Linked DNA regions of Arabidopsis thaliana. The protein of the gene in region 4 interacts with the protein of the main gene of each other region in a pairwise test. Each region holds a gene or a part of one and is shown on either strand. Other genes may lie near its edges. The genes, in order: AT1G51200, bZIP5, NAC097 and MBD7.

What was found.
Region 1: the proteins of MBD7 (region 4) and AT1G51200 interact in a two-hybrid assay, tested with the Arabidopsis thaliana proteins (one large-scale study listed by BioGRID).
Region 2: the proteins of MBD7 (region 4) and bZIP5 interact in a two-hybrid assay, tested with the Arabidopsis thaliana proteins (one large-scale study listed by BioGRID).
Region 3: the proteins of MBD7 (region 4) and NAC097 interact in a two-hybrid assay, tested with the Arabidopsis thaliana proteins (one large-scale study listed by BioGRID).

The regions. Positions count from the first base shown.
Region 1 is NC_003070.9:18,980,207-18,989,413, forward strand, and holds AT1G51200 (A20/AN1-like zinc finger family protein), read left to right. Parts: upstream 1-4,074; 5' UTR 4,075-4,348; exon of another isoform or gene 4,349-4,517; 5' UTR 4,518-4,550; intron 4,551-5,481; 5' UTR 5,482-5,483; coding exon 5,484-6,005; 3' UTR 6,006-6,428; downstream 6,429-9,207. Other genes in the region: PLT2 (Integrase-type DNA-binding superfamily protein), read left to right, coding at 1-99; AT1G51210 (UDP-Glycosyltransferase superfamily protein), read left to right, coding at 7,603-8,904. UniProt on the Arabidopsis thaliana protein: May be involved in environmental stress response.
Region 2 is NC_003074.8:18,452,584-18,460,350, forward strand, and holds bZIP5 (basic leucine-zipper 5), read right to left. Parts: upstream 3,543-7,767; 5' UTR 3,457-3,542; coding exon 2,986-3,456; 3' UTR 2,648-2,985; downstream 1-2,647.
Region 3 is NC_003076.8:20,675,590-20,683,460, forward strand, and holds NAC097 (NAC domain containing protein 97), read left to right. Parts: upstream 1-3,632; 5' UTR 3,633-3,635; coding exon 3,636-3,822; intron 3,823-3,848; exon of another isoform or gene 3,849-3,884; coding exon of another isoform or gene 3,885-3,924; coding exon 3,925-4,196; intron 4,197-4,294; coding exon 4,295-4,417; 3' UTR 4,418-4,685; downstream 4,686-7,871. Other genes in the region: TIM8 (translocase inner membrane subunit 8), read right to left, coding at 286-471, 869-916; AT5G50830 (nuclear polyadenylated RNA-binding protein), read left to right, coding at 7,863-7,871.
Region 4 is NC_003076.8:24,092,447-24,101,252, forward strand, and holds MBD7 (methyl-CPG-binding domain 7), read right to left. Parts: upstream 4,087-8,806; 5' UTR 3,977-4,086; coding exon 3,824-3,976; intron 3,544-3,823; coding exon 3,391-3,543; intron 3,306-3,390; coding exon 3,207-3,305; intron 3,024-3,206; coding exon 2,826-3,023; intron 2,737-2,825; coding exon 2,614-2,736; intron 2,501-2,613; coding exon 2,306-2,500; 3' UTR 1,913-2,305; downstream 1-1,912. Other genes in the region: AT5G59790 (UPSTREAM OF FLC protein (DUF966)), read left to right, coding at 244-358; SBT5.4 (Subtilase family protein), read right to left, coding at 4,449-5,562, 5,641-5,735, 5,827-6,364, 6,450-6,546, 6,631-6,795, 6,885-6,982, 7,620-7,729, 7,822-7,941. UniProt on the Arabidopsis thaliana protein: Transcriptional regulator that binds CpG islands in promoters where the DNA is methylated at position 5 of cytosine within CpG dinucleotides.

The DNA.
Region 1 (9,207 bases), on a different chromosome or scaffold from region 4:
CCTCCTTCCGGTGGAGCTACAGGGTATGGAGGATGGAATAGTGGAGAGTCTGCTCAAGGATCGAATCCAGGAGGTGTTTTCACGATGTGGAATGAATAAAAGATGAATTCTCTGTGTTTTTTGCGAGGCAAGGTAGGGTATGGAATAATTAGCTACTTTAATTTCCACAAGTATTAGGATCGGCTGGAGTCTTCTTGATTAGTAGAGGATTTAGTGTTTTATTTTCTTACTTTTGACGGCGAAGATGATAAAACTTGTAGACGGCGGTTATCAGAGTCCTCGAGGGTTAGTCTTTTTAGGGGTACTATAGTAACATTAGAAAGTACCCGAATTTTGTTTAAAAGCTAACCCTTCTGACTAATTTTTCAAACTTGTATTCGTAATTTATAATTGAAGATTTATTGTTCTTATATTTTTATTTGATTATACATACTTACTAGGATTTAACCCATGGTACACCACGTAGCAAATATTTTATTCATATATATAATAATATTAAATTTTACGGTTTTAGTTTAGTATTAAAGTTATATAATTTTATATTAATGTTGTAAATAAAAAAATTAATGATGATAAAATAACAAAATAAATATTTAACCTGTGTTATATTAATTTAAATCCATCTTGCTATATTTCATATCTATCCAAACCCGTCCGGCTATATTTTTCGTCTCATGATATTTTAATTTTTTATAAGTTTAAATATTAGTTGTGGAATTAGTTGTGATTGTGATTTTATGCCGAAAAAATTATGAACTTTTAATTCCATGGAAGATTCAAACCAAGATAATGAATGTTTTTAGGTGCACATATAATTGGATTTGTTCATCATACGGGATAGTAAATGTATTTTGGTTTGTTTCACAATGTTTGTTTTAATTTATTGCCAAAATTTAATACATATAATTCAAATAGTTCAAATTTTTGTTGTTTTAAGATTTAATGAATATTGTAGGTGAGATAAAAAGAAGATAATTTATTATGTTTTGCGTGACATATGGGATTGCCATATATTTTAAATCTTTTTGGTTTGTTACACAATTAATTGCCGTAAAAAATCAAACCATTAATTAAAAAAATCAAATAATTAAAATTTAGTGGCAGCCATTGTAAATAAGTCACAACTCCATGATTTATTTCACAAAATATATGCAAAAATGTATATGTAGATTTATGAATTTAAGTGAAAATTGTGCATAATTATAATGCTTACTATGTCTCTATACATAATCTTTAACTCTATTTAGTCAGTGTGCACATAATTTTTGCTTATTAGAAAGGTTTCTTTTGGAAGGACTACAACTCTCAAGTCCCTCAACAACCAATAATGGGGAAAGAAGCTTAATTCTTGGGTCACAAAGCATATGCCTTTTGGGAAGGAGTTTAAAAACATACTTATCTGAGTTTCTGGTCGTTACAAGAATGAAAAAATATGGGTAGCTCGAGATCTGTGATTATGCGTTTACTCACATAGAAATAACATTCATTTCACTGTTGCATTGATCTATAAAAAAAATGCTGGTAGAACAAAACGTTGTACGAAATTAGTAGTGTATAACTTCCTCCACTTCTCCAAACACCAAATCTTGGATCATTCTTAGAGATTTTAATCAAATCATCACTTTCAGAAGACTATTTCTCGGTGAGAAATGATTCTACCCCTTCAAGGTATGATTGTATAGCTTACATGCTTGTTAATCAACAAATGGATTTATTTTTTACTGACATTGATTTTTTCCATACTAAAATCGACAATCAAGGACTTAACCTGTTAAGAGAAAGCTTCTTAGATAACTATTCACATAACTGTATAATATTCTGTTTTTCAAAATTGCATGTAAAGTAAAACAAATAACATATATTGTATTCTTTGTTTCATATATAACTGACTAATTAAGGAGTTCAATTCACTTTGAAAAATGACAAAGAAATAAACTAGCATTTTAACTTGTTGAATAGCCAAACAAAATGCTTTTGGCTTATGATTTTAGAGAATAGACAGTGAAATACAAGTATTGCTCAAACCCAAAAGTATGTATTTTCTCTGATTTTTGTAGTGCTTACAATTAATGATAATGTTACAAGTACTAGACTTTACAAATCTAAGAGACACAAGGGAAGTTTTAGCATTTTTGATCGATTCAATTGAAGTACACGGATATGCAGGTACATATTATGTGTATAATGTAAGAATAGTCTTTGTTGTTGAGTTGCACACAAAAAAAAAAGTCTTGGTTGTTGACTTTCAGAAAGAAAGTAAAGTTAATAATTGATATTTTTTAAAGAGTTGATCATCCGTAGGAGAAATAATTAGTGGTAATTTAAAAATATCTCTTATTATTTACATTAGGAAACCATACTTTGATTATCCTTAGACATGTCTTTATAAAACTCGCATGTTAGATCAGCTTACAATTGTTTAGTATACAACTCTTCAGAACAAAGAGACTCTTGTATTGTGACATTTAAACAAAAATACTTGATTTTTGGAATGATTACCGTCTCAAAATAGTTAGATAATTTTTTTGCTAAAATGATTGCTAAGACTTTAAAATAAAATAAACATAAACTAGAGAAGTGAAACTGTAGTTTTATATAGTTTATAACTATATACAACCGTATATATTTCTCATAGATGTGATCCATGAGATTGTATATGCTCCATTGTAGATACTTGAACTAATAAGAACCATTCTTTTATTAATAATTTTGTTGTCTAACAATTGCTTAAATCTCTGTCAAATTTATAGCCTCTTATCTAGAAAAATGAGATCATAGATATTCATAGTAGGATGTGAGTGGCTCCAATATGTCTTTGAAGAAGTTGTTTAGTGGTAGGAGAAAAATTATTTCAAGACTCTGACTTCATTTCATGAATTATCTATTATTCATATAATACAATTGCTTATGAGTTATCTTGCATCCATTAAAATTTGCTAAACATAGCTAGATCTTCTTGTCGGATACTTCTTCGAGAAAGAATCTTGTTTAATTGGCAATTATCACCAAAATTATATAAGTGGTTGTTGATACACAATCCATTATCAATAACACTAATGATCACATAATCTGTAATTTTTCATTACATTACTCAAAAAAATTCTATTCAAATTTGTAGAAATCTCACAAAAATATAATTTAATAGCAATGTATGGATGATTTTAATTCTCAGTTTACATAAGGAATGAAATTATATATTATGAGTTACATATATATTGTATGCTATGTATCTCTCTAGCACAAAATTAGATTCATAACATATACTATCACCTATTAACATTAATTTATATGTCATACTACATAAATTAATATGCGAAATTATGGATGATGCACAAAACACATTAGTAAGAAAATAAAAATCCCTAAAAAAGTAAGAAGAATCTTTCTTTAATCAAACGAGTCCGAATTTAGGAGAAGTGAACGAATTATAAGGGTTGTCCTGTTGAAACGACTAGTATGAACAAGAGGCGGACCAAACGACATATAAAACGAGCTGACTAATATTGGACAAGCTCGATGGGTTTGAGGACGAGCTAATAGTGCACTCTCTCTATGTCAACATAAAGTGTAGATCTTGTGACAAGACTTGCTATTTTGTATTTATAAGAACCAAGATAGGACATATGTCAAAGTAAATTGGTGGATCTACCTTCCGACCTATTGACATGGTTTCGGCTTTTTATAGACGCTAACTCATCGATTAGGTTTTCTTCCAAACGAATTTTAAGTTGAAAATAGACCCAATTACCTTAATTATTATTGGACATTGTCCATTCCTTGAGTTTATTCCAATTAAAACCTGAATTGGAGGAAGCCCAATTCTTCCCTCAACAACTATGTTACCCATCTCCTCTTAATATATAAATTTTTAAAATATAAAAGATTATTATTAATTAAGAAGTTTACAAACACTTGTCAAACAATAACCATAATAAAACTGGAAAAAGAATATATTATATTCTAGATATTAACCAAAAAGCTTAATATCATTTTCAAACTATTGGTAATTAACTAATTGTTCTTGAAAAATGTAGTGTCTAATTCCGTTTCAAAAAAGCGAGTTAACATTTGGAAGCCTTAACTCTTTTTTTCAAAAAAGTAAAATGAATTGAAATTTGAAATGAGTAAAAAAATCAAAAGCAGAGCCAATAAGATACGTACACGTCATAGCCGACTCTAGCACAAACGGTGTGAAACGAAAATATAAACGTCGCTACAAAAAAAATCGTCGAGACAAACCAAAAAAAAGCCTAAAAAGCCGACCTTTTTTCTTTCTTTCTCTCCTCTACCTCTCAGCTTCTGCTGGATCTCTCCAGCAGACACGATCTTGTTCGGAGAGATTCGTAGGGTAAAGGGTTTCTCTTCTTCTCTATTTTGCTTTCACCTTTATAATCTTTTCTGGGTCTCGATTTTGTTTTCTAATTTCATTTCCATTTCGATTCGATTCCTCCTTTGTGTGGGAGGCCTTTGTTCGGTCAACTTATGTGTTCTGTTTTTGTCTCTTTTTTATTGATTAGGGACCGATCTATCAAGGCTTCAAGGGCAAACAGGTGAATTAGCTTTTGGGATTTGGTTTTATTTAGGGTTCATTTGTAAGCTGTTGATGTGAATTCTTTTTTATGGTTCTCGATTGTTTAATGATTTGATTGTTTGGTTATATTTGCATGTGGGTTTTGTGTGTGTTTGGAAATTTGAATGAATTGATGTGAAAAGTTGTAACTCTTGTTTTTGTTGATTTAAAAGGCTAAGTTTTGAAAATTTTCATTTCTGTGGAGAGAGGTAGTGTTGGATATGAGTGATATTAGCTATGTGGGTTTTGTATGCTTTTGAATTTTGAAATGAATTGCTATGAAAAGTTGTAACCTAAGAAAGGTAGTGTTAGATGGAAATTAGATTAGTATGTGAGTTTTGCATGTTTTAGAAGCTTGAAATGAATTGCTTTGAAAGTTTATAGCTTTACGCTGATATAAGAGGCTAATTTCTAAGTAGTGTTGGATAGAAATAAGATTAGCTGCTCTAATGTTTTTAAAATGATTCATTTATGATTCTAATTTGCCTAATGAATGTGGTACTAGGTGCTAGGTAACCTAGACACTTCTGTTTGGTTGGGTAGCTTATTGTTAGAAAACAGGTCAGCAAGATTTGTTTGTCTGTTTCAGGTTCTAGAGTTAGCAGAGAAATGGCTCTAGGCTTGCTTTTGTTCTCTTCTTTCTATTTAGTTAAAGATCCTGAATTATAGGAAGGTGCTTATAGGTAGTGTGGTTATAAACTATGAAGATCATGTGTAAGGTATCCAGATAAGTTATTTCATGAAAAGAATTGTTCATCTGCTTATTTTCATGTGTATGTTTTGCACTGATTTTCTAAGGCAACTGATGATACTGATTGGGTTTAAATGTACTCATCATCGTGAATCTTCTGCGAATTTTTGTTTTATTTTTCCATGTCACTGAGACTGAAGATGGCTGATTTTAAATGTAGAAATGGACCACGACAAGACAGGATGCCAAAGCCCACCTGAAGGTCCCAAGCTATGTACTAACAACTGCGGTTTCTTTGGAAGCGCTGCCACAATGAACATGTGTTCTAAGTGTCACAAGGATATGTTGTTCCAACAGGAGCAGGGCGCTAAGTTTGCATCTGCAGTGTCTGGAACATCGTCATCCAGCAACATCATAAAGGAAACCTTTACCGCTGCGTTGGTCGATATTGAAACCAAATCCGTTGAGCCGATGACTGTTTCTGTACAGCCATCCTCTGTCCAAGTCGTTGCAGAGGTAGTAGCACCAGAAGAAGCTGCGAAACCAAAGGGACCAAGCCGATGTACTACTTGCAATAAGCGGGTTGGCCTGACTGGATTCAAATGTCGCTGTGGGAGCCTCTTCTGCGGAACACACCGCTATGCAGACGTACATGACTGCTCCTTCAATTACCATGCTGCTGCGCAAGAGGCGATAGCTAAGGCAAACCCGGTTGTGAAAGCAGAGAAGCTTGACAAAATCTGAAAATCTAAGTAAACTTCTCTGGTTTCATCAGGTGGCCTGGTGTTTCCTTCTCCTGTCTGTGTCTGGTTCAAGTATTCTCATGTTAAAAAGGTTTTATATAAGGTCGAATGAAAGCGTGCTTGATCTTTAGCGTCTTCCATCTCTCTGTGGTGTGGAACTTTCTATTATCTGTGTTTGCAAGCAGAGAAACGTGCTCTTAAAAAAAATGCTTTGTGTGTTTATCTTTCTACTATTTTTGAGCACTGTGTTATTGTTTCCTGTTTGGTCTGTATCATATTGAGATTGTCTCTGTAGCTACATGAAGCTTATTTAAAAAGGCCTGTGTTTGTCCTTCAATCAGTGATTCCTTTCAATTTCTCTGGTTGGTGAGTTATGTAACTTTGCAAAGTCATGAGCTTACTATATATGTGTATATATGGGTCGATAAACACTGAAGAGCTCGCTTTTTCCTGTTCTGAGTACGAACGCCCATAACCATAGAAGAAGGAGATGATCGTAAGGAGACAAAAGCTCCAAAGGGTGTCGTCCTCACTTGCTTTACAACATGTCCTATGTGAAAAACCGACGTCGTATCAAGTTGCGTAAGCATCGTATCAACTTGCTCTAAACGGCATCGTAGGAGTTGCTTTAAACGTCACCATACTATATACTAGTTCCTGAGGACATCGTATAAAAATGTTTGGAACTGTTTGGTTCATTGCCTACACAACAAACGGCGTTTTATCTGATTTTACCGGTTTTTTGATGAGTCATCACTGATAGTGATAACTGATGCGCTTTTGCTTCACCGCAACTCCTTCTCAACCGCAACCATTTCACTAGAGACACATGTAACTATCTCAACCGCAAGATTTGGCAAACAATCAAGCGTACGTTCGTTTTCCTCATAAACCCCAGCACCGCATCTTCTACGTACTTATTCCGCTTTCAGTTTTGTTTGATTTCACCAAAATACCAAACAATATTTTTTTTTGTTTTGTTAAAGAACAACAAAAACAAAAATTAAAATAATAATAAATAATAACAAAATAATAGTAATAATTAACAATAAAATTTACTATTTTTTCTTTACTTTTGTTTGATCTCATCATCAAATATAAATACAAGAAATTTTATGATTTTCCATATATTTTTACTTTTTCTAATTGAAGTTTTTCTTCAAATTAATTAAAATATATAGAATATCTAAATAATATATTATTAAACTTACCAATTATTATTTCTTTTTTAATTAGAACAAAATGTCATTGTTAAATATAGATGAAAATCAACTCTCATGAATCATTATTTTGCATTTAATTTTTGTTTCTAGTTTTACGTAGATTTCTTTCTATTTAGTTTAGACTTTAGAGGATACAACTAACTTGATATTTTTTTCGCGTTTTGGATCCAAATTGAAACTATACACATGGCATACATAATCTCATCAATTTAAGTATATAACACACTTCAAAAAAAGATAAAAAAAATTAGACTCGTGTTTTTTTTTTGGTCAACAAAAAATCTAGACATATAAAATGCCAATGCACATATCATCGTACATTAACACACACATCATTCTATAATATCACCACCGAGCGTAAACAACAACCGAGAAATGAACAGAGCAATGCCGCAGCCGCGACCGGAAACTATACGTGGCAGTTTAAAACCTCACATCATGGTGTTTCCATATCCAGCACAAGGCCACTTGCTTCCTCTTCTCGACTTAACCCATCAACTCTGTCTTCGTGGCCTCACAGTCTCCATCATCGTCACTCCTAAAAACCTTCCTTACCTCTCTCCTCTTCTCTCCGCTCATCCATCCGCTGTTTCCGTCGTCACTTTACCTTTCCCTCACCATCCTTTAATCCCTTCCGGGGTTGAAAACGTTAAAGATCTAGGTGGTTACGGAAATCCCTTGATCATGGCTTCTCTTCGTCAGCTTCGAGAGCCTATCGTCAACTGGTTAAGTTCTCATCCAAATCCACCGGTCGCTCTCATTTCTGATTTCTTCCTTGGATGGACCAAAGATCTTGGTATTCCTCGCTTTGCTTTCTTCAGTTCTGGAGCATTCTTAGCTTCGATTCTCCATTTTGTCTCTGACAAGCCTCATCTCTTTGAATCAACTGAGCCTGTCTGTTTATCGGATCTTCCTCGCTCCCCTGTTTTCAAAACAGAGCATCTCCCGTCTTTAATCCCTCAGTCTCCATTATCGCAAGATCTTGAAAGTGTTAAAGACAGTACCATGAATTTTTCGAGTTATGGTTGTATTTTCAATACTTGTGAGTGTCTGGAAGAGGATTACATGGAGTATGTGAAGCAGAAAGTGAGTGAGAACCGCGTTTTCGGTGTTGGTCCGCTTTCTTCAGTCGGGTTAAGTAAGGAAGATTCCGTATCCAATGTAGACGCAAAGGCATTGTTGAGTTGGCTAGATGGATGTCCAGATGATTCAGTGCTCTACATCTGCTTCGGAAGTCAAAAGGTGTTAACCAAAGAGCAGTGTGATGATCTGGCTCTTGGTCTCGAGAAGAGTATGACCCGATTCGTATGGGTGGTTAAGAAAGACCCGATACCGGATGGGTTTGAGGATCGGGTCGCAGGTCGAGGAATGATTGTGAGAGGGTGGGCTCCTCAAGTGGCTATGTTGAGTCATGTGGCGGTTGGCGGGTTCTTAATCCATTGTGGATGGAACTCGGTGCTGGAAGCGATGGCTAGCGGAACAATGATCTTGGCATGGCCAATGGAAGCAGACCAGTTTGTAGATGCGAGGTTGGTAGTGGAGCATATGGGTGTGGCGGTTAGTGTATGTGAAGGGGGTAAGACTGTGCCTGACCCGTATGAGATGGGTCGGATTATCGCTGACACAATGGGTGAGAGTGGAGGCGAGGCGCGTGCTCGGGCTAAGGAGATGGGATAGAAGGCACGAGCTGCAACTGAAGTAGGAGGAAGCTCTAGTGTTGATTTAGAAAGACTTGTCAAAGAATTGAGCTCTCTAAAGATATGATTCTAAATGAATAAGCTTTTAAAAAGAGTTCTAAATGAACAAAATTGTGTTTTCATTGTCAAAGTATCAAGTATCTACATAGCTAGAGTCTCACTAAGAATTACAAAACTTTGAACCAGTATAAATTAACGAGGGAGCTAGTTAGATTTAAAACCCTCATGTTATCTAATAAGCAGATACAAAGCGAAAAATTGGGTTTCAGATACAACTTCATAA
Region 2 (7,767 bases), on a different chromosome or scaffold from region 4:
CGTTTGATAGACACGTATATATAGTTTGCATGCATTTCGCAAGTCTAGTCTATCAAACTCTTCATTTTCACTAATCGATTTTGATCACTAATCGCATAACAAAACCATGTCCTCACACAAAAATAAATTGCTTTTGTCATCATCAATATCTAATAGAGATGAATTAGAGTTAGCTATGCCAACAAATGTTGATGATAAAATGGTGGTACCATCATTGCTACCTTTGCCACCACCATATCCGTTATCATCAAAACAGTTGGCTAGATCTTCCTCGTTAGTTAAATCATCGTGTATAATGAAATGGAAAAAGACGGGAAAGAGACGAGAAGAAAAAGATGATCCTTTTCTTATTGCGTTGAGAAAGTGTTCAAACGATACAAAAAAATTGACGATGATGACCCTTTTTTTACTGCGATGAGAAAGCAGGGTTCTAATGATATAAACATTGCCGATGATAAGATTGTGTCTAAAAGGAAGAATAGTCTTAAAAGTCTAGTTTCTTGCAAAGCTCCTTCTGTCAAAGATTGATTTTGATTCCAAATTTTTTATTCATTATTTAAGATATCATCTCTCTTCTGTTTTTATTTTTTTTACCTTAATAAATATTTTAAAATATGAATATATATCAATTAGTAAAGCATCTTATCATGAACATAAAAAGGTCTTCAAATTATTGAATTTTCTCTCTTTTTATTCTCCATCTGTCGTTAAATTATAAGATCATGTAAAAGGTTCCAAACTATAAGTAAAATATCTCAAGTTGTCTAAATATCAAAATCAGATTTTTAGTTACTCTTTTTATCTCTTTCCTTTCTCCAAAGTGAAAGAAAAAATAGAGACAGCCAAAAATATCGCAAAAAAGATTTTAGTTTTTGTTACCAAAAGGATCATTTCATACCAAAATTTGATTAATCGATCTCTTTGAATGAGTGTAATCTAGCATATTATTTAAATAGACTTAACGTATGACACCATTATATATCTACTTGTTCACAATAAATGAAAGAGTTTGAGGTACAAATCTAGCATGGTGCATGGAGAACCCTAAATCTCAACCTTCCGGCCACCACAAATGGATTACAAAATAAAAACTTGAAATAAAAAGAAAAAGACAGATTCATCAACACTCAGCTTTGTAGTTAAGTTGTTGTTGTGTATATATATGAACCACATTTGGTTATTTTCCTTTAAATTTTCATTGTCTGTTTTGTTCACGATTTGTTATGCCCCTTTTACATCGTATTAATTCAATGCATTCGAAACCTTAAATATCATATCACAACCTTTAAAGTTTACGCCAGAAAAAGTATTACAAATGTTAGGGAAAAGCATTTTAAAATTTTGTTCATGACTTAAAGTTGGCTACTGTCTACTGTCGAGCCGATTCATGGTCAAATCGTGGACGACAGATATTTGAGAACAAAAAGTAGAAAAATCAACAATAATGGGTATGAATACGTGTCATGATTTACACCGTAATCTTTATTTATCTAAATCAAATAATGGCCGCATCTTTATTCTTATAATCCTCACTAATAATTTCCCCCTTCACATGCATTAACACAAATAATAAATTAAGACAATATAATAGTTTTTTCACTTTAGACTTATAATATGTTTAATTTGATAACAATGGTATTGTTATTATCATGTCTCCATATCTCGTGAAAGGTTAAGAGGGCCTAAAACTTCCGCTCCTGAACATATATGTACACATATATACGTGCCCTTGTGTGTGTATTAAGAGTTTAATACTATATATCTTAGCTAATTAGGATTTAATTAAGTGTAGTTAGTACATGATTAATGCACCTATTTGGTCATCAAACCATCATTATCATCAACCTAACTTTGTCCCTGCCTATATATAGCTAAGTTCGTGATTCGTACCATGTATATAAAACTTAACATCTAGTGGAAATAAATTCATGTTATCTTACAATTACTAAGCCTCTTTATTTTCCTTTAAGTGCTTACCTTAGACCAAAAAATACATAAATTATCATGTTCAAAAACTATATATACTTCGAATCGAAATATATCCATTAGCCCATTAATTAGGATACAAAAGCTTAATTATAATTAAAAGCATTGAACCTATTAAGAAAGACCGAAACAAAGATAATGTTTTCAGGGTGATTAAGACTGCCGAGAAATTAGTCGACCTCTTTACGAATAATTGAATTTGACCTCCTTATTCAAAATAGTATTTAATCAGGCCATATTCTCATATTCTATATTTTAGACCACGAATTTATATATTAGGATACCAAGACCCATCTATTTTGTCGTTGCACGCGTCATTTAATCATTTTTCAGGGGAATAATTTACATTTGATCACTAGAAAGTTGTAGGATAGGAATCTTACAAAAATTAAATCACTGTTTCGTGTGTGACGTTTTAGAATTTATGCTTGGAATATAGCTAATTATGCTGATAACATTCTTCTTTTTTTCGTTTAACTTGTAATATATTCCTCTCAACTTATGCTGATAAAATTCTCTATCGTAAGTTACGACTATAGAAATGATCACCCTCGATCATCTAAATTCTACGAGCTAGAGACCTTTATTGTTAGAACTTAATTATGATATCGTAGTCATCTATTTCGTTTGTGCTTATTTCTTGAATATATAATGATATAAAGGTATATTCAACAAAGCTAAACGAAAAGAATAGTGAAAAGAAACAAGTAGATAAAGGTTATCGACAAATTCTGCCAGTAACCCATTTCTTCGTTAACAATTTTAAACACGTCAATATAATTAATTAATTATTTATTTATTAATATATAAAAAACGAAATCTAATTTGATAACGTATATCCATGCATTTTTCAATAATTGTTTTTACAAATTGTTCCCATTTTACCGTCGAAACAATTTCAGAAACCTCAACTTATGATAACATGATCGACGGATCTTGCTGGACCGTAACAACAGTACTGTTATTACAAGGCCAAGTGGCACAGTTTGATGAGCTTCGTTAGGTTTGACGAAACATCAAAACTTGTCTGATGTTCAACAACTTATCATGCAGTATACGGTGCTCCATAAGTAGACGATCATTTTCCATCTTCGTTCGTTGACAATGGTATAAAACGTACCGAAGCTGGTTCTTCAATTCTTGGTTCTGAATTTTGAGTTGGTTTAGCTGGATACTCATCTCCTCCAAGTGCTTTTGTTTCTTCTCTCTTGACCGCTTAGCCGATTCCCGGTTCGATAATTTCCGTTTCTTTTTCCGCTCGTCGGTATTGTCGGTCGGAGACATGTCTGAACCGATCTGGTTTACTGAACCATAGTCATGGGTCGAAACCGGTTTTGGATCGATTAATGAATCGAAGACCGAGAAGAGGTGTGAAATGTCCCATGGAGTGAAACTGGTTTCAAAAGCTGGGAGGACAGAGGTTAATAGACCCGGTTCGGTTGAGAAAACCGGGGAAATAGTAGACATCATGGTGCTTAACCGGAAAATAAAAGAGAGGACAATTTAAAATGATCTCAAAATGTAGAGATGCGAGAGAGATTAGAAGGGGAAAAGGGAAGAATTGCATTGTTGGAGGTCCATATTTATGGACGAGAGAATACACACATGAGGCTATTTTGGTCAGACATTAGTAGAATATTGATGGGGGTTTTTCCTAATAACTTTTTAGATTTACTTTTCTTTTTCTTTTTATCTTTTTTTCAAATTTTCTTTTTCTAAGAATGAAAAGAGAAAGACCAAAAGATGAGGAAATGAGTCGCATCAGGAGAGGAAATTGTTGGACACGTGTCGGTGTAGGATTAGATGTAACTCAGAAGTTTAAGTTTAATATTTCAAGTATGGAGAGCCAATCCTCGTTTCCTCGTAAGAACACTTTTCAGTTTTTACGTTTTAACTTAAAGAACATTGGATAGTACGAAGACTCAAATTTAATATTGGTCTTTAGATCTTCTATGAACGTATGATTGTTGAACGTGATCTTCGATGTTTAAAGGAAATCATTTTTGTTAGTGTGTTTTTACTGTTTAGCTAGACTTTCAAATAGGAAGTAGAGACTTAGCTTGTGTATTCAACATTTTCTTTCTTCTTTGCTAAAAGTTGATAGTTTCGATCGTAATAATCCAATTAGATAATTTTATGTAATATTATTGTATGTTTTGGGATTTTGTTTTTTGATCGTGTTCTTTATTTTTGCAACATGTGCAAGTCTAAACCTCGTTACAAAAGTTGAAGAAGGAATCTTAGTTTTTTTTGGTTAAGATTCCTTTCTTTTATGGTATATGTAACTGCAAATATAGTTAGTGAAATCTACGTTCTGAGACAGAAGATAAAGTTATGGACCAAAAAGATGAAAAAGCATCCTATAGCATTAAAAAGAAGAAGAGATATACTTAGTTTGCTGTTATATATAGTGATATGCATGCATACCACTGTATTTTAATTTTAATTTTATTTTTATTGGTCGGCATACTTTTGTATTTGAAATTAATCTGATGGATTACTATATTCTAGCTAGGTATAAGATATAAAATTGTTACAAAACCGGCAAAAGTAAAGGAACTTGGATCTATCTAATTAGGAAAGTTACACCTTGAATTTATATTGGGATATGATTTAATCGATGTTATTACGTCTTGTTTTCAAATACAGTCTTTCGAAAAGTTGTCGTATGTATTTAGAAAATTGACAGTCCTAAGATTTTCTTTATTTCCATAGAGATATTGTTGTCTTATCATCCGAATTCAAATTCGGTTGAGTGTCTATATATTAATAATAAAAGAAAAATCGTAAGTGCTACTGAGGAACTAATTTGATTCATAATTACTATTTGCTAATTATTAGTTATACCAAACCAAAAAGACTAGAGGGAGGGGAGGGAATATTCGCATGGCAGTTTTCTTAACAGCAAAGCTGTTTTAAAGAAGCCGTTCCTAAGGAATACAACAAAACAAGAAAAAGCATGGCTTAATAATCAAATTCTTTCAGCTTTATAATGTTTTCAAGTTTGTTGGAGATCATGTTCATGTGCACGACCACTTTAACTTTGTTCAACAAATAAAAACTAATTTAAAGTTATTTGTAACCAATAGTAATAACAACTTTCCTTAAAAAAACTGACCAATAGTCACAACATACTCATACGAAAACGAAAAAAACAATAATAATTTTTTCTGAAATAAAAAAATGTAGGTATTAGTTTCGTGTTTTTAACGAATTAGTCAGTAAAAACTATAGTTGTAACCTGTAGAAATGATGTCTTCTCTATTTTACTACTACAATAATACATCTAAACAAAAAAACACAAATAGACCAAAATTTGTAAATTTTGTTGTAATTTATATCAAAAATCAAAAAGAAAACAAATTTACTATATATTTTGCTGAAAGAAAAAGATAAGTTGTAAATTTACTATATGTTTGTAGTATATTTACTACAGTAAATCCTGTATAGTAGATTTTGTTTGCAATTTACTCGATTTTTGTTGCAAAATTTGTTTTCTTTAAGAATTTTTAAATCGAATCCGTATAAATTAATGTTTACAACTAACTTCTCAATTTTTTTTTAAATATATATATATTGTTATAAATTTTATGGTATACTATAAAACAATTCTTAATATAAAGCATGTACTAACGAAGCCGGCACTCCCGGTATTGGATATGGTGTTAAAATAAGGGTAATATTAGTAGATAACCAAATAAACATACAAATTAAGAAACTAGCAGAGAAAAAGTTTTTTTTTACAAAATAACCATGGACCCACTTTGTCGGAAGAAATGAAATAACAAAGTTACCCTTCATTTGTTGTAAGATAAACAGTAAACGAAACACATCTGTGTAATTTTTCAAAATAGCATGTAACATTAAAATTTCACATGTTATATTTAGTTTAAAAACATGCTATTTCAAAAAACGTCATGAATTTTTAAGAAAAAACATTATTATGAATTTTTTTTACATGAACATAATCTTTAAAAGAAAAAATTATATGTGATTTTAATAAAAACCGTGTATTACAAAAAAATAAGAATATATTTTTAAAGAAATCACGTGTGATCTTAATAAAAAACGTGTATTACTACAAAATATCATGATAAAAAGAGATATTAAACTGAATAGAATGTTTTTCCAAAAAATACCATGTGCTTTTTATAAATACTATATAATAAGAAAAAATAACAAGATAAAAAAAGGATATTATGTTATCGCATGTATTTCAAAAAAAATATATTACAAAGGATATTTACGTAATTACATGTGTTCTCCAACATATTTCCGACAAGGTACTCTGACTCAAGGTTAGTTTGTACATTCTTTTCAAATCTATAATCATTTATTATAAATTCTCTTAAAATAATGGATATGAGATGGGTCTTAAATGATCCATATATATCAGTGCTGAGGGGCTAAAACGCATGGCCCATTATACTTCTAAAAAAGAAGTATGTTATTGTAAGTCAGAGACAGCAGAGGTGTGAGGGCCAATTTAGATGATCTTAAGCTTTTTTCTTTTTTTAATCTTATTATATCACTAGAGATTATTAATCTAATCTTATTACGATGATAATCAACTACCTACAGAAAATGCGATTATGTTCTCTCGCAAATCTTCGATAAACTTTATACCATTAATTTGTAAGAAACTGTGTTTTCTGAGACTCTAACTCCAAACTTAAATGTAAAAGTATTCATGAATTTTTGGTTAATAATTGGACTAAAAAGACTTCTACCGATGATATTAAGTTAATAAGGATATATAAGTTTATATTTTGTAAAAAAGAAAAATTTGGTTATTAAAAAAAAGTTTAGAATTGGACAAACTAGATAACATTTCAACCGTCGTGAAATCTTTGAATCTTCGTTGTTATGTATATGTTCAGTTTAACAATGTAGTCCATATGATTTCATTTAGCTGACTTTTTTATTAGTATCACCAAAGAATTTGTTTTTCAGGTTTGTATGTAGGATACTAGTCTTGAGGTTGACATATTGTTGACATGGAAAATCTGCGTACAGCTTCTCTCTGCGGCGATGTTGTTGTTTACGTATTTTTCAGATCTCATCACACTGATTTTGTTGATAATGCTGCGGTTTTATATTCAGAAGAAGAACCTTTGCCTTCCGCTTTAAATTTGTAATCCTTCAGACTCTAGGAAACAAAACAAGGATGAGAGTTTTCTGGGATATCTTGTGTTGATCATGAACGAATAGGATGTACTCTTCCATGAAAGAAGTCTTCTTCTTCTAAACCGTCACGTTCTTCTTCTTCCTCTTCCATGGAGGAAGCTACTTAGGGTTCGAGGAGGAATTTAGATGAGCAGGACTTGTGGCTCGAATAGAGTTTGATGTGGATGATTGAATTGCTCACTTATTATATTATCTTGCCCTAACTTGTACTCTTCTAAATTGGTGACTATTGGGACTAAGATATATGTCAATCTTCTATTTCCTAGATTTACTTAGATACGATCTTATCTTGTATAAGAAACTATAAATACTTCTCCCTTCTATTGAATACAACTAGACATTACAACCTATATTTCATGGTATCAGTGAGCAATCGATGAAATCACCACCTATGTTCTCGTTCAGCCTATATTGTTTACTTAAGTGGCTCTCCTATCTCTTGGAAAACAAAGAAACAAGACACAGTTTCAAGCTCATCCACAGAAACCAAGTATCGAGCAATGGCTTATACACTTAAAGAACTCAAATGGATAAAGCCACTTCTAAAGACATTGGGGTTTGATCATCAACACCCAATTGAGTTACATTGTGACA
Region 3 (7,871 bases), 3.4 Mb from region 4:
CATTTCACCACAATCTCTATGTGACTTAGCAAGTTTCATTGTTTCAACCCAACCCTTGTACAACCCTCCTTATTAAAACCACATTATTCAACACTTGTCTCTTAATATATTACTAGCCATCAATAACAATCTCAATCACATAACCATAAAGAAACACCTAAAACACTTATCCGAGAATACTCTTGCAAGATCACTAGAGTAATAAAAGGGATTTCAACACTTGCCAAGAGAAACAAAAAAAGGATAAATTAAAATTCCAACAAGTATGATATCCTCCAATCAATTTTACTGCGAATTAAAGCGTTTCATGATGATCATACTCATATCCATGTAGCGTTGAGCACAATGAGTGAGGCAAGAACTCTCGCTTGAGCTGAACTTACTTCCCGGTGCGCTTGTGATGCATTTGTCCCAGCACACACTTGTCATCTTCGACACCATTTCGTTCACCATTGCTCTTTCTTTCTCTTGCTGCCACACAAACACACACCCACATTCTCTTACAATTCACCAAACATAAACCCAAGACAAAAAAAAATCATTACTTTGCATAAACCCTAATAAACCCAATTCTTGTAAACACATATTAGTACACTAAATCTCAATTCAACTTGATTCTAATCATACCAACTAAATCACACATGAAAAAAAAAATCAGATCTTTCAAGTTTAAAGCATCGAAATGTTAATTTGACCCGTCAACGAAGATTCAAATAAATGGTTTCTGTGAATCCAGACAGGACTTAAAACACTGCTTCTACTTATAATTTCGCTGTCCAAATGCTCAAGTTTCCATGTGAATCGACTTAAAAAGCTTTAAAATTGAAAGAACTAATTAGCATTCATCAAAAACAAATCGGAGACTTACGGCGAGGAATTGAAGCAATTCCGGGTTGTTTGCCATGCTAGGATCCATGTCTGGTGAGCTGAGAGCGTCTCTGCTTGAAGAAGAAGAAGGAGAAGAAAATTGTTCTCAGCGACTGAAAACCCTAAAAACTTTTCTCAAAAACCCCAAAAGGCTACAATAAAGTTCAAGAGACGCCGCTTACTTACTTATTGGGCCAAAACCCCCATTAAAAGCCCAACAGTTAAATAATCATATTGAGATCAAATATGTAAAAGTTTGATTTAAATATGGATCATGATCTGGGCCGAGTGTACGGATATATAGGGTGGGTAGACTCAGTGATTTTAAACCCGGACCCGACCGGTTTAATAGGGAACCAGCAGGCACATTTGGGTCTAAACTAGTCATAAAACCGGACTTTTTAAAACTCTGATGGAACCGGGAACTGGCGGTTCACCCAGCTATTTGTTGACTAGTTCATGTATTTTTTTGGTGGTGTATATCAAATATTCTTCTAAGAATTCATTTGCTCCAAGATAATCAAAATGTTACAATCTCCATTGTGATTAACTTTAAAGTTTAGAGGTCGTCGGTTCGAGTGACGCTTGGAACAAATTTCGGACCTAAGGGAATTACGGGCTTCGTCCCAAAACCTCCTGGTATTCAAAAAAAAAAAAAAAAAGGAAAGAAAAGTAACTTACTTGACTAACTTAGTATGCTTTGGTAAACCCATTCAATTAGAACTAGATTCAAAGACATTATTTTAAAACTATTTTCTTTTTGCATTGGAGAACCAATCAAAAAATTACGTTCAAGTGTATGTATGGTTAAAAAGAATAATTGAACATGAAGATGGTGCTTGTACCATATCAATATCAACCATCAATTGACAACACTAAGTTATAAAGAAATGAAACTTTTCATTTATGTATGTCGTTGCTTAAGAAATGTCGCTAAATCATCAAAATCTAAAGTAAAAAGAAGATTGAAAACAAACAAATAAAGGAAATGGAAAGCCAACATCTTCGAGGTGAAGAAAAGTACCAAATCCAAAATGCTGCGTGGGAGGAGTAAGACATATGATTCTAAATTGACAAATTTAAAGCTTTTTCTATATCCTTTATGAATATAAAACAAATAGAGCTTTGCCTACTTTCAACACATGAAAATTATATAGAGAAATTTTGGACTAGAATTAAAGCTAGATGTTAACAATTTAAAATATTTATCAAATATAAGCTAGTCATGTTGCATTCGAATTAAGATTCAGCAAAAGAAAGCTGATGAATACTCTCTTCCAAGTTCCAACCAATTAAACTAATCTCGATTCCTTAACAATGAAACAATCATCTTTAATCCATTTCATTTTCTTTTCTTAGTCTTTCGAAAGACAAATTATGTAACCTTTATTTCTAGTGTATAAAACATAACATTATACAAAGAGGACTAAACCTAAAATGCTATTTGTAAAAATCAAAGGCTGATGCTGGAAAGTTGAAGCAAAAAATTGGAACAACTTTGGTTTGGTGGGGGCTTTGGGAGCTTTATTGATCCAAGGAAAAAAAGGAAGGATAAAAGGCAAGTCACCAGTCCAAAGACACACATATATACAATAATTTATCTAAAATAATTGAAATTAAAGAAGTGCATGAGAGTAGAAAATTGAGTCAGACCAACATCTAATAACTTACTCGTTAAGTCAGCTTCTCAAATCTTTAAGTTGGGATCGACTTGGACTCTCTTTCAAATTCACTTTTGTTTTCTGAATATACTTTCTTATATTTTTCTTATTTCTTAATCATTGCTTATGCATATTTACTTAAATTTATTGTTTTAAAAATGTATTGTATCCCGACATTATTATTTCACTTGCCAAATGATAAAGACAAAGAAAATTTTGATTCCTCGATGATATAAGTTTTCCTTTTCCACGTATAAATTTATACCAAGAAATGATTTTACTACAAAATTATAGGTTGAACGTACGTCCAAAACTTTCGCTTATTTATGTACATTCATATCTATAATTCGTATATCATTCCGACATTACTATAAGAAAAAAAAAGGGTCGCATGGATATTTTTACATGGATGATATATACACTAGTCCCTAAACATGTGTAAGGTCCCTAACATAAAGGTTTGTTTTCTTTTTCGGTGTGAAAACATTTCAGATTTGGAATAAACACTGTGGTAATTTTTCGGGTTTAAATCCACTCTAAACACTTACGTGTATTTTTACCTGGGCTAACCGATCGGCTTATGAAAAATAAAATTTCAAATGCATGTTAAAATTAGTTCTGGGCCAATTGTTAGAAATGTGCTCGTTTTAGTTATTGATGTTGAATGTACTTATATGGTAATGAATCAGCGTGGATCTAGGCTTTTGGAACTTAAATCTTGTTTATTTCGTTTTGGTTGAAAAAATAAATAATTACCTTTGCCCAGGAAAACGAAAAAGGAACTAGATTATCTTTACCAAAAAAATAAAGATATTTTTGAATACTCGCTATATTCAAAACCTTAACAACGTTGACTGCATGGGTACATGCACCACAATTTGTTATGATGATCCTCGCATTTAAATAAACAAAAATGAAACCAATCTACGATCTCTGAATTTGCAGTTATCAATTTTTTTTTATCTATTTATCTCTTGAAATTAATAGTAGTACGTAAAAAGTATCTAAAGGAAAAGCAGAATCCGCTTTTGCCAAACTAAAGGTGACACACTCATAAGTATATATAAACAACCTAAACCAAACACAAAGGATACTCATAAGAAAGCAATGGACATTTCTGCGCAGAGATTTGCCATGAACGGAAGAAGCATGAGACTCCCTCCCGGGTTTCGGTTCGATCCCGATGATGAAGATCTTGTGTTCGAGTATCTCGCCAAGAAGGTCCTCCACCGTCCAATGGACTTCGATCTCCCTGAGCTCCGTTCTTGCAATGTTGATCCATGGGACTTGCTAGGTTTGCTACAAACTCTTCTCTCTAATAATTACTATACCATATCACGTCAAATGTATTGAAAAATGTGGTTTAGTGAATGTTGTACGTACACTTTTGTTGTAGGAGAGAAGAACAAGGAAGTGTATTACTTCGTGAAGAAGGAAGAGCGAGAGAGGAAGGGAAGAGAGACGTTATCCGGTTATTGGGAAGAGTGTGAAGAAGAGGAAGTAATGGAGGCTGGTGGTCGTGATTGTATTCATTTAGAAGGAAGGAGAAAGACATTTGCTTTCTTTATTGGAAAAAAACCTCGAGGGACAATAACTCCATGGATCATGTACGAGTTCCGACTTCTTTCCTCTAGAGCTACAAGGTGGTCATCGTCCCCTCTACCTCGGGTGAGTCACTCATTGGACTTTTATCTTTTTCTATAACATATATTTTTGTTGTAAGTAATAGTTTAGAGCTAACTATATCAATGTTTTGGGTTTTAAAGGGTGAGGTAGGAAAATGGAGGGCGGTGAAAGTCGTAGTGAAGGAAGAGAATGATGAAGAGATGGTGGAGGATGAGCACGAGTCTGACGAGTCTGATGGCGAGGAAGTTATTCAAAGCCGGTGACGACCGAGGTTGATGCCATAAATATATGTACTTGGTTTTGTGGTGAATCGTTTGAATTTAGTTACTATTGTTAGGATATTAGGGAACATCTAAATGAAATATATATGCATGATTTGTCTTATTGTCTTCCAAGCCCTTTGGAATGGAATGGAATGTAATTGAGGATGTGGTGAAAGATGCCACAAGTTGCTTTCACTCTCCCGTTTTATTTTGTTCTTGTCCAATTATATATATATATATATTATTAGTGGTCCGTTAGACCAATCCATCCAACATCACATGAGGAGGTCTTCCCACAATATAAATACAACTAGATTTTAATCCGCGATATACCGCGGGACGATTTATTTTTTAAAAGTAATATATATTAAAATTTGCAAATTTTATTTTTATAAAATATTTATATTTTACAGTTTATAATTATTATTAAGTAACGCTATACCACGAATCCATGAGACAATTTTTAAAAAACTGAAGTTGTAACCCCTATTAAAACAGCATATTAATAATATTTTAAAATTTTATAAATATTGATTCAAATACATCCACCATATAATCCAATTCCAAAATAAAACCTGTTGTATAATTTCTTTACCCGTCCCGTGATTTTTTTTTAAAAAAGTAATTTTTAAAATTTAAGAATTATTTTTATATATAAAAGTTTTGCAAATTATATCATTCTCTAATACATTTATATTTTATAGTTTAATTTTATATATAGTAACATTATACATACTACATAATATTTTCGGTTTTATATAATCTTTTCTAAATTAGGATGATTTGATATGTTTAATATTAGTGGTCTTAAAAAATAATAAATTAAATATTTAACCAGTATTGAAACGGTGGATTAATTATATTTTACTTTTTTATTAATGTTGATTCAAAAACCCGTCACTCCAAATCTGTCTTGCCAAAAAGCCATTTATTTTATTAATATTAATTTTATTAATGATATGACTCTGAATTATAATCTAAACATTTTAGCTAATAAATAGGAGTACACCATATTTATTTAATAGGGGAATGTACCATATGACCCGAATGCACTTTTACCCAAATCCACCAAAAAAGTCTTGCAAAAATACTATAGAGATAAGAAACGATAGTCGGTTTTGATAGGTAAAAGATTAGCAAATATATTAGTTAGCTTAAATTAGTTAAAGAATACAAATTGAAAAGGTATATTACACTTTATTCGAATATAGTATCAAAACTTATATAACACAGAGATTTGATAATTTTTTAATTGTTGAATACTTTTTTTTGTGCTAATTTTTATGTGATTAAGATTTAATTGATTATATATATAAAATATTAAATTGTTTTACGAACTTATTTGTTTATAATTTGGTAACAGATAGATATTTGAGTATTCAGTATATTTTGCTTCAGTTTAGGAAATCTTTGATGACCCGTCTTTAGATCCAATAAACCTTATAATCTAGATATTAACCTGCAGTATACCGCAGGTAGGCTTATATTTTAGTTAAACTAAAAACTTTTATTGTAAAGATGATTTAAAAATATATGATATTATTTTATTTGATTTTAAATGTATAGTAAACTGTGAGTTGTATATGTTTTGTTGATATTATGTATATTGTTTAGTGTTTATAATTAGACACTTGTAGTTTAATTGTTAATTTAAGAGTTTCACATGTAGTATACCATCTTGTATTAATATCGATCTAAACCCGTCAATTCTAGGATTTTCCAGCTTGTATTAAAAATTGAATCACATCATACACATAAAAAAATCTAATATGTTATTAATTATTATAGTATATAAGATTATAAATTTTCAATATAATATGTATGAAATTGAATATAAATATTTCAAATTATGACCCGTTACTCAGTAGAAAGTTTTCTTAAATCTATTTTTCACCCTTTATAATATTTTTTCATGTATTGAACAGTTTATATTTGTTTTTAAAAATTTAAATTATGGCATATGCGAAAAAACTCTAATTTTTTTTTTATAATGATGATATTATTTTTTCGCAAAAATAGAATCATATAAAGATGAGAAGTGAACTATAATAATTAATAAAAAATTAATATGATAATTTAGATATAAAATCTAATTTGTTGATTTTAATAGGTTACTTTTTTGGAAATTAATAATGTATTTTTTTAAATTTAATTAAATTAATTAAAATTTAAATATCAAATCTTATATGTTGATCTTGATTGGTTATTATTTTTGAAAATTAATAATGTATTTCGTTTTTTAATTAAATTTAATTAATTAAATTAGTATTTGACTTTTTAATCCTTAAAGAGATAAATTAATTTACTCTTTAAAATTTTATTTCTAATGATATACCTATGTAATTACTTAAAAAATTAATGTTATATTTAAAATGTACTTTCCAAATAATATAGTAGGATATGTAAAAGAAAGTATAATATTTTAATGTTTGGGTATCTTTATATTTAAGACACAATGTCTCAAATGTCTTTATAGAGACATTTTGGAGAGAGATGTCTCAAATTTAAAGACCCTTTTATATTTAATTATTCATATCTTATAATTATAATTTTTTTAATATAGCTAAAGACCCTCTCCTTTTATATGCAATGGAGATGCTCCTTCATCATTAGTATATTTTGTTTTGAATTCAAGATTTCTAAATATAGAATTTCCTAAAATAAATACATGGTAAACTCGTGGGGGTTATTGACTTGATTTGATACAAAAAATGAGAGGATATAGTTGTGATCGCATTTGATTAATTTAGGCTGATGAGCAATATGTATGCAATATGCATGGATGGTGTAGAAGCGAAGACAACTATCACCATACTTAAGATTAAAATCACCACAATTTTAATATAATTTAACAATATGATTTTATGCATAATTAATTGGACTTAATTATTACTAAGACATTATCAGTTTGCAACCATCCAATTTCATGTAGAACAAGAAGTCTTTAGATTAACCCTCACAAAAGACTTTCCGTTTTTCGGGGTTTTTTCTTGACTAAACAAATAATCTTGGAGACATTAATGATGTTATGAGTCATGTGACCAATACAGTTATTTAGACATCAAAGTTATCTGCAAATTCATTAGAGACGAACGGTAATAGTCACACATGACAATAAGAATGAAGATGTCACTTAGATAAAAATTAAACCAACTCATGTATTTGCCTAAATAAATCACTATTTACCAAATTTAGCAAACAAATCGTAACTAACCAATCAACATCACACAATCTCAACCCTTTAATAATCTCACATTCTCTCGCTTCTTCTTCTCGGATTCCTAAATATTATCATTCATTCATCATCCTCCCAACTCATTGGCTCTCTTCTCTCCTCTCCTTTGCCTATTTTCTAAAATCTTCTCCGGCCACCCACCGGCCACCTTATGATCTTTTTGGTGGCGGCGATTACACCATCAATTTGTTAGTTTATTTATATATTAATATGGGTTGC
Region 4 (8,806 bases):
TTCGATTTCTCTTTAGATGAAACGGCACGTAGTTCTATTTTAACTTTTATGAATTTACCCGTACATTGGCAATTATTGGTTATGGTGTGTTGAACTGTTGATTGAAAGAGCTGAAAATGGTAAAGTTTGTAGAAGTACATTTTGGGGTGTCTTTCAAACGTCTTCTCAATTTTTAAAAGTTCTAATAGTTTTTTTTAATGAAATGAAAGGTTATAATAATTGATATTTGATAAATTTTATTAGGTGTTCAAGAATGGGACCAACGACGGAGAAGGATGAGGAAGAAGCGGTTCGAGCTAAGTGCATTCCGAGAAAACCAAAGCCGGTGGCTAAAAGGAACAATGGTGGGCAGCAGTAACAAAAACGGCACGATGAGTCTAACAAGCTTATTTTGGGTTTAAGTAGAAGAGAAAAGTAGAATAGGGAATGATGAGTTTGTAAAGCATTGTGAATTGTGTAGGTAAACTATAACAATTCCTTTGCATGCTAAAAAAATTAAGAGTTAACATGATGGGTGAATATATAATATATAATGTTGTAGTCTGAGCCTAGGTGTCTTTTGAGGTTAATTTCAATCTGGTTTTCTTTTATAACCCCAATATTACTTTATCGTAGTGATTGGGAACCTAAATTACAAATTTCAGTTAGTTTTGACCATTTTTCATACTTTTGGGGTTTCATTGATAGCTCCTTTCAGTTTAGAGTAAAATATCAAATGATCATAGGAAGCTTCTTTTTCCAACATGCATAGTAGTAGTACTACTAGTAACCATAGAAATTAAGGTGTAGATATTTACGATTTTGGACCAAATACATAAAGAACAACAAAAATATATAGATTTGTAGGGAAAACGCCCTCCAACAAATTGACTTGGCGTGATTAGTTTACAGAAATTACCAGAAATACATCGAAAACATTTATTTATATACTATTGAATACTCCATTGAAATGTGGTAAAGTGATAGTTTTCCTTGAAAGTGTAAATAGCTTAGAGTCAATGTTGGGGTGGTACCTTGAGGCTACAAATTATTCAGGGAAAAGTCTCTATGCCCTTTAATTCTGGCCTATTTGGCTTTTGTGGCGTCAACTCCAATATCAATTTGCAGCACGTACACAATATTTTAAAAATAATCGTACCAAAAAGAAATTTCAATAACCAACAACAATGTTGTCTTTTGACTTTGAAATCTTAGAAGTTTCCACTTACCCATTTCTAGAAGTCTTAAATAGCACTGTTATTCAAAATCTTTTTCATTGTACATCATTAAACTCTATGCAAAAGGAGAAATACATTATAAATTCCCACAATCTGCATTCATTAGTATGGAAACCAGACTTTTAAGAATTTGGTTTATTTTGTCAAAGTTCCACATCAAAAAAGGAATTAAATATAGAATTACACATACAAAGCATATGATAATTCACTTATTGATATTTGCTTTTGAGTTAAAAGTAAAGGTTGACAAAAATAAGAAAAAGGTTAAGACCAAATTCAAAATAAAGTACACTGTATTATATTTGACATATATCTAGTCTATTGCGGTACATTCAAGGATAGATATAGAGATAATTATATAAATATACATAAGATCTTGCAGTAGGTGACTGACTTCATTGAAGTGAATTCATACATATTTTGGTAAAAAGATCTGTGATTGCGTGTACACGTTGTGCTTCACAGTTTTACTACAGTTAACATTATTTTTTCTACAGTTTCACAGCAAAAACCGGTGAAGAGAGGTAATTATATCTCACATGGAATACGATATAATTGTCATATAAACCCTCTCAAGTCTCAATCCAAGAAACCAAGGTGAGCTACTAGCTTTAACCGTTAGTAATAACGATGGACTCTCATAATCGAAATAATCTTGTAAATTTCTATATTATACTCGTGAGAACCACTTGGGGCGTACACAAAATGTTGATTTTCATTTATAGTTAGATTCATACTAAGTATTTGGCGAGTATGTTTAACGAGGAGAAGTTGTTAATACAAAAATTAGAGAGGAAGCACACAAAATCATTCTTAGACAACCATTTCACATCAAGCTTGGAATTTTGAACCATTATTTACACCTTACTACAGACAACTTCGAATTTTAAGTCCCCAAACTTAATATGAGCACTAACATACCTGCCCGAATAACCAAAATCCGGTTCACACCGAATATGAAATTGAAAATTTTGGAAAAGCCGGTTATTTGGGTCAGTTATAAACTAGACCGAAGTATGAACTTGAACAGACTACCGACTGGAATTAGCTCTTGTTAACCGTAAACTAAATTGACAAACCTAGTTCGGTTAAGAGCGGTCTTCGATCAGTGAAACAAATGCCTCGGACCATGTATGTTTAACCAAGCTAGAGACATTCGATCCGCGTACATTCGCAGTGAACATGTTTCCGCCGGAACCGGTAAGAACCCACTTTACTTTCTTCGGTGGGTTTGGGTCAATAACTTCGCTCTGAAATCTGATACCATTCCGGTTCATCAGAAGCTGCCACAGTCAAACCGTTACAACCTTGTATAGAAATGGTTCATCTTCTTTACCTCTAAATGATGTAAAGCTTAAAATCAAACTTCATCTATCTTTAAGCTTAGAAAACTTACAGGAAGCCGCTCCGAATGCACCATAGAAACCGAGTCAAGTGTAATGTTCCCGACTGATATCAAGTATCTCTCAACGGCTGCCATGGAACGGAATTTATTCCCTGTTCCTGGCTCAATATATGACTGCAAACAACAGTACTAACGGTATTGAACGTTTGGACTATATGACACAAACCAAATATAACCAAACTACCTAAGTATCAGATATGTACCCTGTCTATATGACTGGAACTTCTTCGCGGTTTCTCCTCAACGATCCATCCATCAGGTAACCTGAAATCTTTGGAATGGCCACGGCGATTCTGTAAAACCCTAAGCTGCTGCTCTATAGAGTTCCGGGATTCTCTTAAGTATCTCTCAACGGAAACAAGAGAACGGAAGCGCTTTCCTGTTTTTCGCTCAACATAATACTGCAAAGAACAATACTAACGGTTTAGCCAGAGATTCAATCCTAAAACCACCAATTCAACGTATCCTTTTCACATTCTGCTCTTCTCACATCCCACATTTAACCGACCTCAGTTGTTAGTTATGTGACTCAGTAACTTATGCATAGGGTCTAAAATAGCTATAGCAAGTCTCTACATTAGTACCTTATCAATATAATGAGAGTTTTTCCTCGGAACCTCCTCAACGGACCATCCTCTAGGCAATCGGAAACCTTTGGAGGCATATTCAACTCCGCAGTGATCCTGCAAAAGCATAAACACACTGATTTTAAGTATTTGATCCAAGAAGAACCATATGCTTCTGTAATTTCAAATCAGAACAAAGGACCTGTTTGGTTCTTGATCCTTCATAAACCCTTGTCTTGTCCTGGAAAAAGGATCCTGCTCGAGTCAAGCGTCTGTCATTTACTTCTCCAGCCAAGTGTCTGTGAATAGCTTCTAGTGATGAAAACTGTCTACCAGTCCCTGGCTCGATAAAGTACTGCCCACAAAACAAAACAAAAACAAGTAAAGATGAGACTTTTCAGAAGAGAACCACAAGATCTATCTTCAACTCAAGCATATACCCAAAGAAACGACTCATAGACCTCTCAAGCAACAATCAAGAGCTCTGTGGCAACACAATCACTAATCTGATCCAAGCATTACACTTTGGTCATACATATCCATTGCACAAAAGACATAAATTAGCTCTAATTGTTCAAATTCTGAGAAAAAGCTCAAATTTTGTTTCACATTTGCTTGATGTAGCTCATATTTACCGTATCAACAACACCGTTGTTGCTAGATCGCGGCCGATTCACGACGGTCCAACCAGGCATAATCTTGCCGCAAAACGAGGTGGGATCCGCGATCTGCAACTGGGTTTCGCGGCGGTGGTTAGCCGAAGGAGAGGAAGAGGATCTCGTCTGCATCGCTTCGTTGCCGGGTCTAACCCAAAAGCCCGAGACGAGAGTGTGGTTTTTAGTTTGGTCGTCCAAGCCACACACACTTCTTATTTCTCTGTCACTGCTTTCACGTAACGACACGCAAAAAGCACCATATGTCCACTTGGCAAATTTTTACCTTAATACAAATTCTGTAATTAGAAGATGATTAATGAAAAATAAAGTTAATAATCACATGCAAATCAAATATGCTAATCACAAAGATAATAAAAATAATCAATGTTTTTGGTTTACTAGCTATACATTTTATTTTAGGTAATGAATTATATGATGCCGATAGTTATTTGTTAACATCAAAATAAAATTAAACTGTTTTAAGAAAGAATGTGTTTTAATTCAATTTTTTTTATTTTTTTTTTGAACATTAAAATATTATCCAAACATATAAAATGATTCATAGAAGAAAAGTGAGAACGATGAAGTAGAATGAAGAATGAGGCTAGCTTGAAAGTTGGACGACGATGGGACTCCTAACGTAATGATGTGAATCAGTCCACGTCAGCTCTCCAAAAACGTAGCCTGAAGGCGTCACTGGCAAGGGACGAAGAGTCATCTGAAATATCTTCACTTCACCAGTTTTGTTGAACGTGAGCTGTTTTGGCTCCACGGAGACGCGAACTCCAAGTGGCTCTCGGAAACGAGCGTTGTAGGTAGCAGGTGGTCCAACGTTTTTGAGTTTTCGGGTGACGGTGATAGAGCCCGTGAGGTTTGGGACAGTGATTGAAGGGTAGTTGAAGTCGAGAAGATTGGCTCCTTGGCGACACGTGTACTGTGGGTCCTCGGCAAAGAGTTGAACCACGGTGTTGTTGTAGCCAACGGCGCAGAGGAAGTCCAAGTAGTCTCCTGTGGTGAGATCATAGACAAGACCAGGATGGGCGGCTTTATTGGGTTGGACATGGCCTGAACCGTAGCTGAAGGGATTTGCTTTCTTGAAGGATTCATCAACCATGGGCTTACGTCTGTTGTTTCTGGTTCTTGAAGTTGTCATGATGGCTGAGCGGATAGCTGCAGGACTCCAATGAGGGTGAAGTGTTTTCAAAAGACCAACGACACCGGAGATGTGAGGACAGGACATGGAAGTTCCTGATTCGGTGTTGAAAGGAGTTCTTCGATTGTCAGAGTCTAAGTCTGTAGGGCCCGTGGCTTCCGTGAAGGCGGCTATGATGTTGACACCGGGTGCAGTGATGTCGGGCTTGAGGATCCCTGGTGTGATGGTGTTTGGTCCTCTGGAAGAGAAAGAGGCCATGAAAGGAGCAGGCTTTGTGTTCAGCGTAGCGGTAGGTGCTTTGATGTAACCTTTGGGATCTTTTGTGGAACTTAGGTAAGAAAACAAAGTTTCACCATCTTTGTAGTCAATTTGTGAAGCAGGAAGAACATGAGCGTCTGAGATGATTTCGTTTCCACTCGCCTTGTCGTTGCATAGAACCATTCCCGCAGCTCCAGCAGCAGCCGCTTGCATTCCCTTGTCCACACGTGCGTTGTCTCCTCTCAGACACACCAAGATCTTCCCTTTCACCTTCTTCGGGTCTAGGCTACCTTTCTTGCATAGCAATCTATGTAACCATCACTAGTTAATTAGTACTTACTTAATTATACACATTCCAAAAAATAGATATCAAGCGTTTACTTACGCATCTGTCACATTTCCATTGGCTACATTAGCATCTGCAGCACTGATGAGGCTATACATCTTTTCTTCAGGCAAAGGCTTTGAGAGGCTTGTTCCCTGCTTTTCAAAATTAATTACTTGTAGCACAAGAAAGAAAGGAACCAAAAGTGAAAGAAAAAAAAAAGAAGACGAGGTCAAAGTATCAAACCTTGAAGCTTTGGCCGTTTTTGAGCTCAACAAAAGCTTGAAACTCCCGATCCATGGAGCTAGCACCGACTGTAATAACCCATGGTGCAACGTTTGAGACAGTGCCAGACTTAGGACCTGAATTTCCAGCAGAGCACACAACCGTCACCCCGTTTTTGACGGCGTGGAAGGATCCAATGGCTATACCATCGCTCATGTAATCTCCAGCATCTCCTCCCACTGAAGCCGAGAGAACATCCACGCCGTCTTCGATGGCAGCCTCAATCGCTGCCAAAATATCAGCATCAAAGCACTCCGCGCCATCCACAGGGGGCCAGCACACCTTGTAAGCCGCGACTCTAGCTTTAGGAGAACCACCACTGGCTGTTCCATTCCCGATACCAAACACATTGGCTCCGGGAACAAAGTTACCAGCCGCGGTGGAAAGAGTGTGGCTACCGTGACCATCGTGGTCACGACAGGTTTCATAGGAGGCGTTAGAAGGAAGGCCTGTGTAAGCTAAGTAACCTTTGTTGAAGTATCTAGCACCGATGAGCTTCCTGGTTACATGTAACGAATCAATAATCACATTCTCTGTATATTTCTATATTTGCAGAAAGAAGTCAACTAAATTAAGATGAGAACCTGTTGCAAGGAACATCCTTGTGGCATCTACCTTTCCACCTAGCTGGAACAGCTCCATACCCTTCATCGCTGAAGCTTTTTGACTCAGGCCACACACCTTCATCAACATACATATTTTATATCATTCATAACTATGAAAGCAATTATGATGACCAAAGCATACCCTTGTTTTGAGATTTACCTGTGTCTAAGTTAGCGATGATTGTATCCTCTCCGTATCCTGCTTTATTCCAAAGAGAGGACTTGTGAACAACACCATTTTTCGCAAGGAGCATGAAATTCCATGAATGAGTGGTATGAAGTTTTCTTCCTTTGTTGGGGAATACAGAGACTACATCAGGATGCTCTGCATACAATTATTTTAAAAAATTTGTTAGGTTAAACTAAAAGGATTGAGAAGCATCAAAAGCAGAATATGAGGTTTGATGATCTCACTGGCGATTTCTGCAGCTTCATTTTCGTCAAGAATTGCGGCGAAGCCATTGATATGTCTCTTGTATGAGTAAAAGATGGCTTCTTTTGCATTCTCATGGCTGCAATAGAGAAGGCAGTTAGTTTCTTGGTGTGTGTATAAGAAAACTCGGACTAAACCGGCCGGTCGGACTAGTAAACCGGCAGTCCAATAGTAAGTAACCGGGGCATTGCACTAAACTCAATTTGGGTGAAACTAATAATACTTTTTAAACCTAGATTTTAGTCCCTCGCTTAAACCCGGGAAAAAAACAATGTCCCGCAAAATTTCCACGAACAGCCTCGTACGTACCAAATGAAATCCTAATTTTTTTGTTTCGGTTTGAAATTCAACATTAAAAATGATTATTCTAATTTTTCTTTTTACTTACCTCTAATTGAGTTTGGTTCAAGTTGTGTTTTACTAAACACAGATTACTTTTTTGTTCAAATACATTTAACAAAGATTTTCTTACAAAAAACATCAATGTCATATTAGAGATCCAGCGATTTGAAATATTTCCGCAAAAAATTCAATGTTATTAACCTAATATGTCATATTAGATGATCCAGCAATTCAAAATACTTCCGCAAAATATTCAATGTCATTAACCTAATATGTCATATTAGATATTGATCCGGTGATTAGAAATACTTCCCGGTTTGCTATTTGATCAAATCTTTAAAACATTGGTTTGGCATAAATAGGAGTAATGGTACCTTCCAACGAAAGAGGCGAGAAAAGTGCGATGTGAGTGAGCAACACCATCGAGATGGGCAGAAGAGATTTGAGGAAGATGGGCGTGAGATCCCAAGTACACTATGTAGGACTGTAACACAGTAGGAAACAAATTAATGCATATCGATCTTACGAGCAATGTATATAGAAAGTGAGTTACATAAGAAAAAAGAGAGAGAGGACCTTTTTAAGAGCAAAAGCAGGAGAGAAAAAGAGAGTGACGAGGAGAAGAAGAGATGATAAACTTTGGAGGCTCATTTTGTTTGAGTATTGAGTACTCGAATATCTTCTCGTCATACTCATATACAAAATACTAGTTCTCCATAAATCTCCCTCTCTCGCTATATTTGCTAAATAGATCGAATCACGCTCAGTCTCAGTCTCAACTTAATTACTTTTAAAGTTTGTTGAGTGATTTCAGCCAGAACTCTATCTCTTCCTTCAACTGTTATCTAATTCGAAAAAAAAGGTAAGAGGATCTTCATAATCTTCTTTCCATATTTATCTCCCTATTATTTGGAATTAAACTAAAATTTTGACTTTGTGGGTGATTTGTTTGACTGCAGCTGTAGAATTTTGTTTATATTAATTGGTTGTAGTTGTAAGTTTTTGAATATAGATATTTTATTCTATTAAATATGGTTTGTAAAGTTAGTAACTGACAGATTGTGCCAAATGTAAACTTTCATGATCAGATGTTTATTATCTCTTTATGTGGTATTGCAAACTTACACTTATGTTTTATTTTAAAATGTTTAAAGCATGTAATCATAAGTGAAAACTAAATTTTTTATTGAAAAATATCTTATAGGATTTAAATTTTCAATTACTTAATTAGAAGTTAGTATATTCTTAACTCACTTAAAATTAGTTTGCATGAAGTAAACTAATGTGTAATTTATCTACATTTTTAACCCTACGAACGGAGGTGTGTTGAACCTTTTAGGCTCGTAAAGAATATAATTTGATGATTTAATCTTAGTATAAACAACATAAAACGTAACTAACTTAGCTATCTTTCTACATTTTAACCCCTATGAACAAGAGGTGGGTTGAACCTATTAGGCTATTACATGTGACCCGCTAAATAGCCAAATGTGGGTAACCACCTCAAATCACTACAAGGCTCATGTCAAACTCTCATTACCATTAATATCCGGGAATCAAG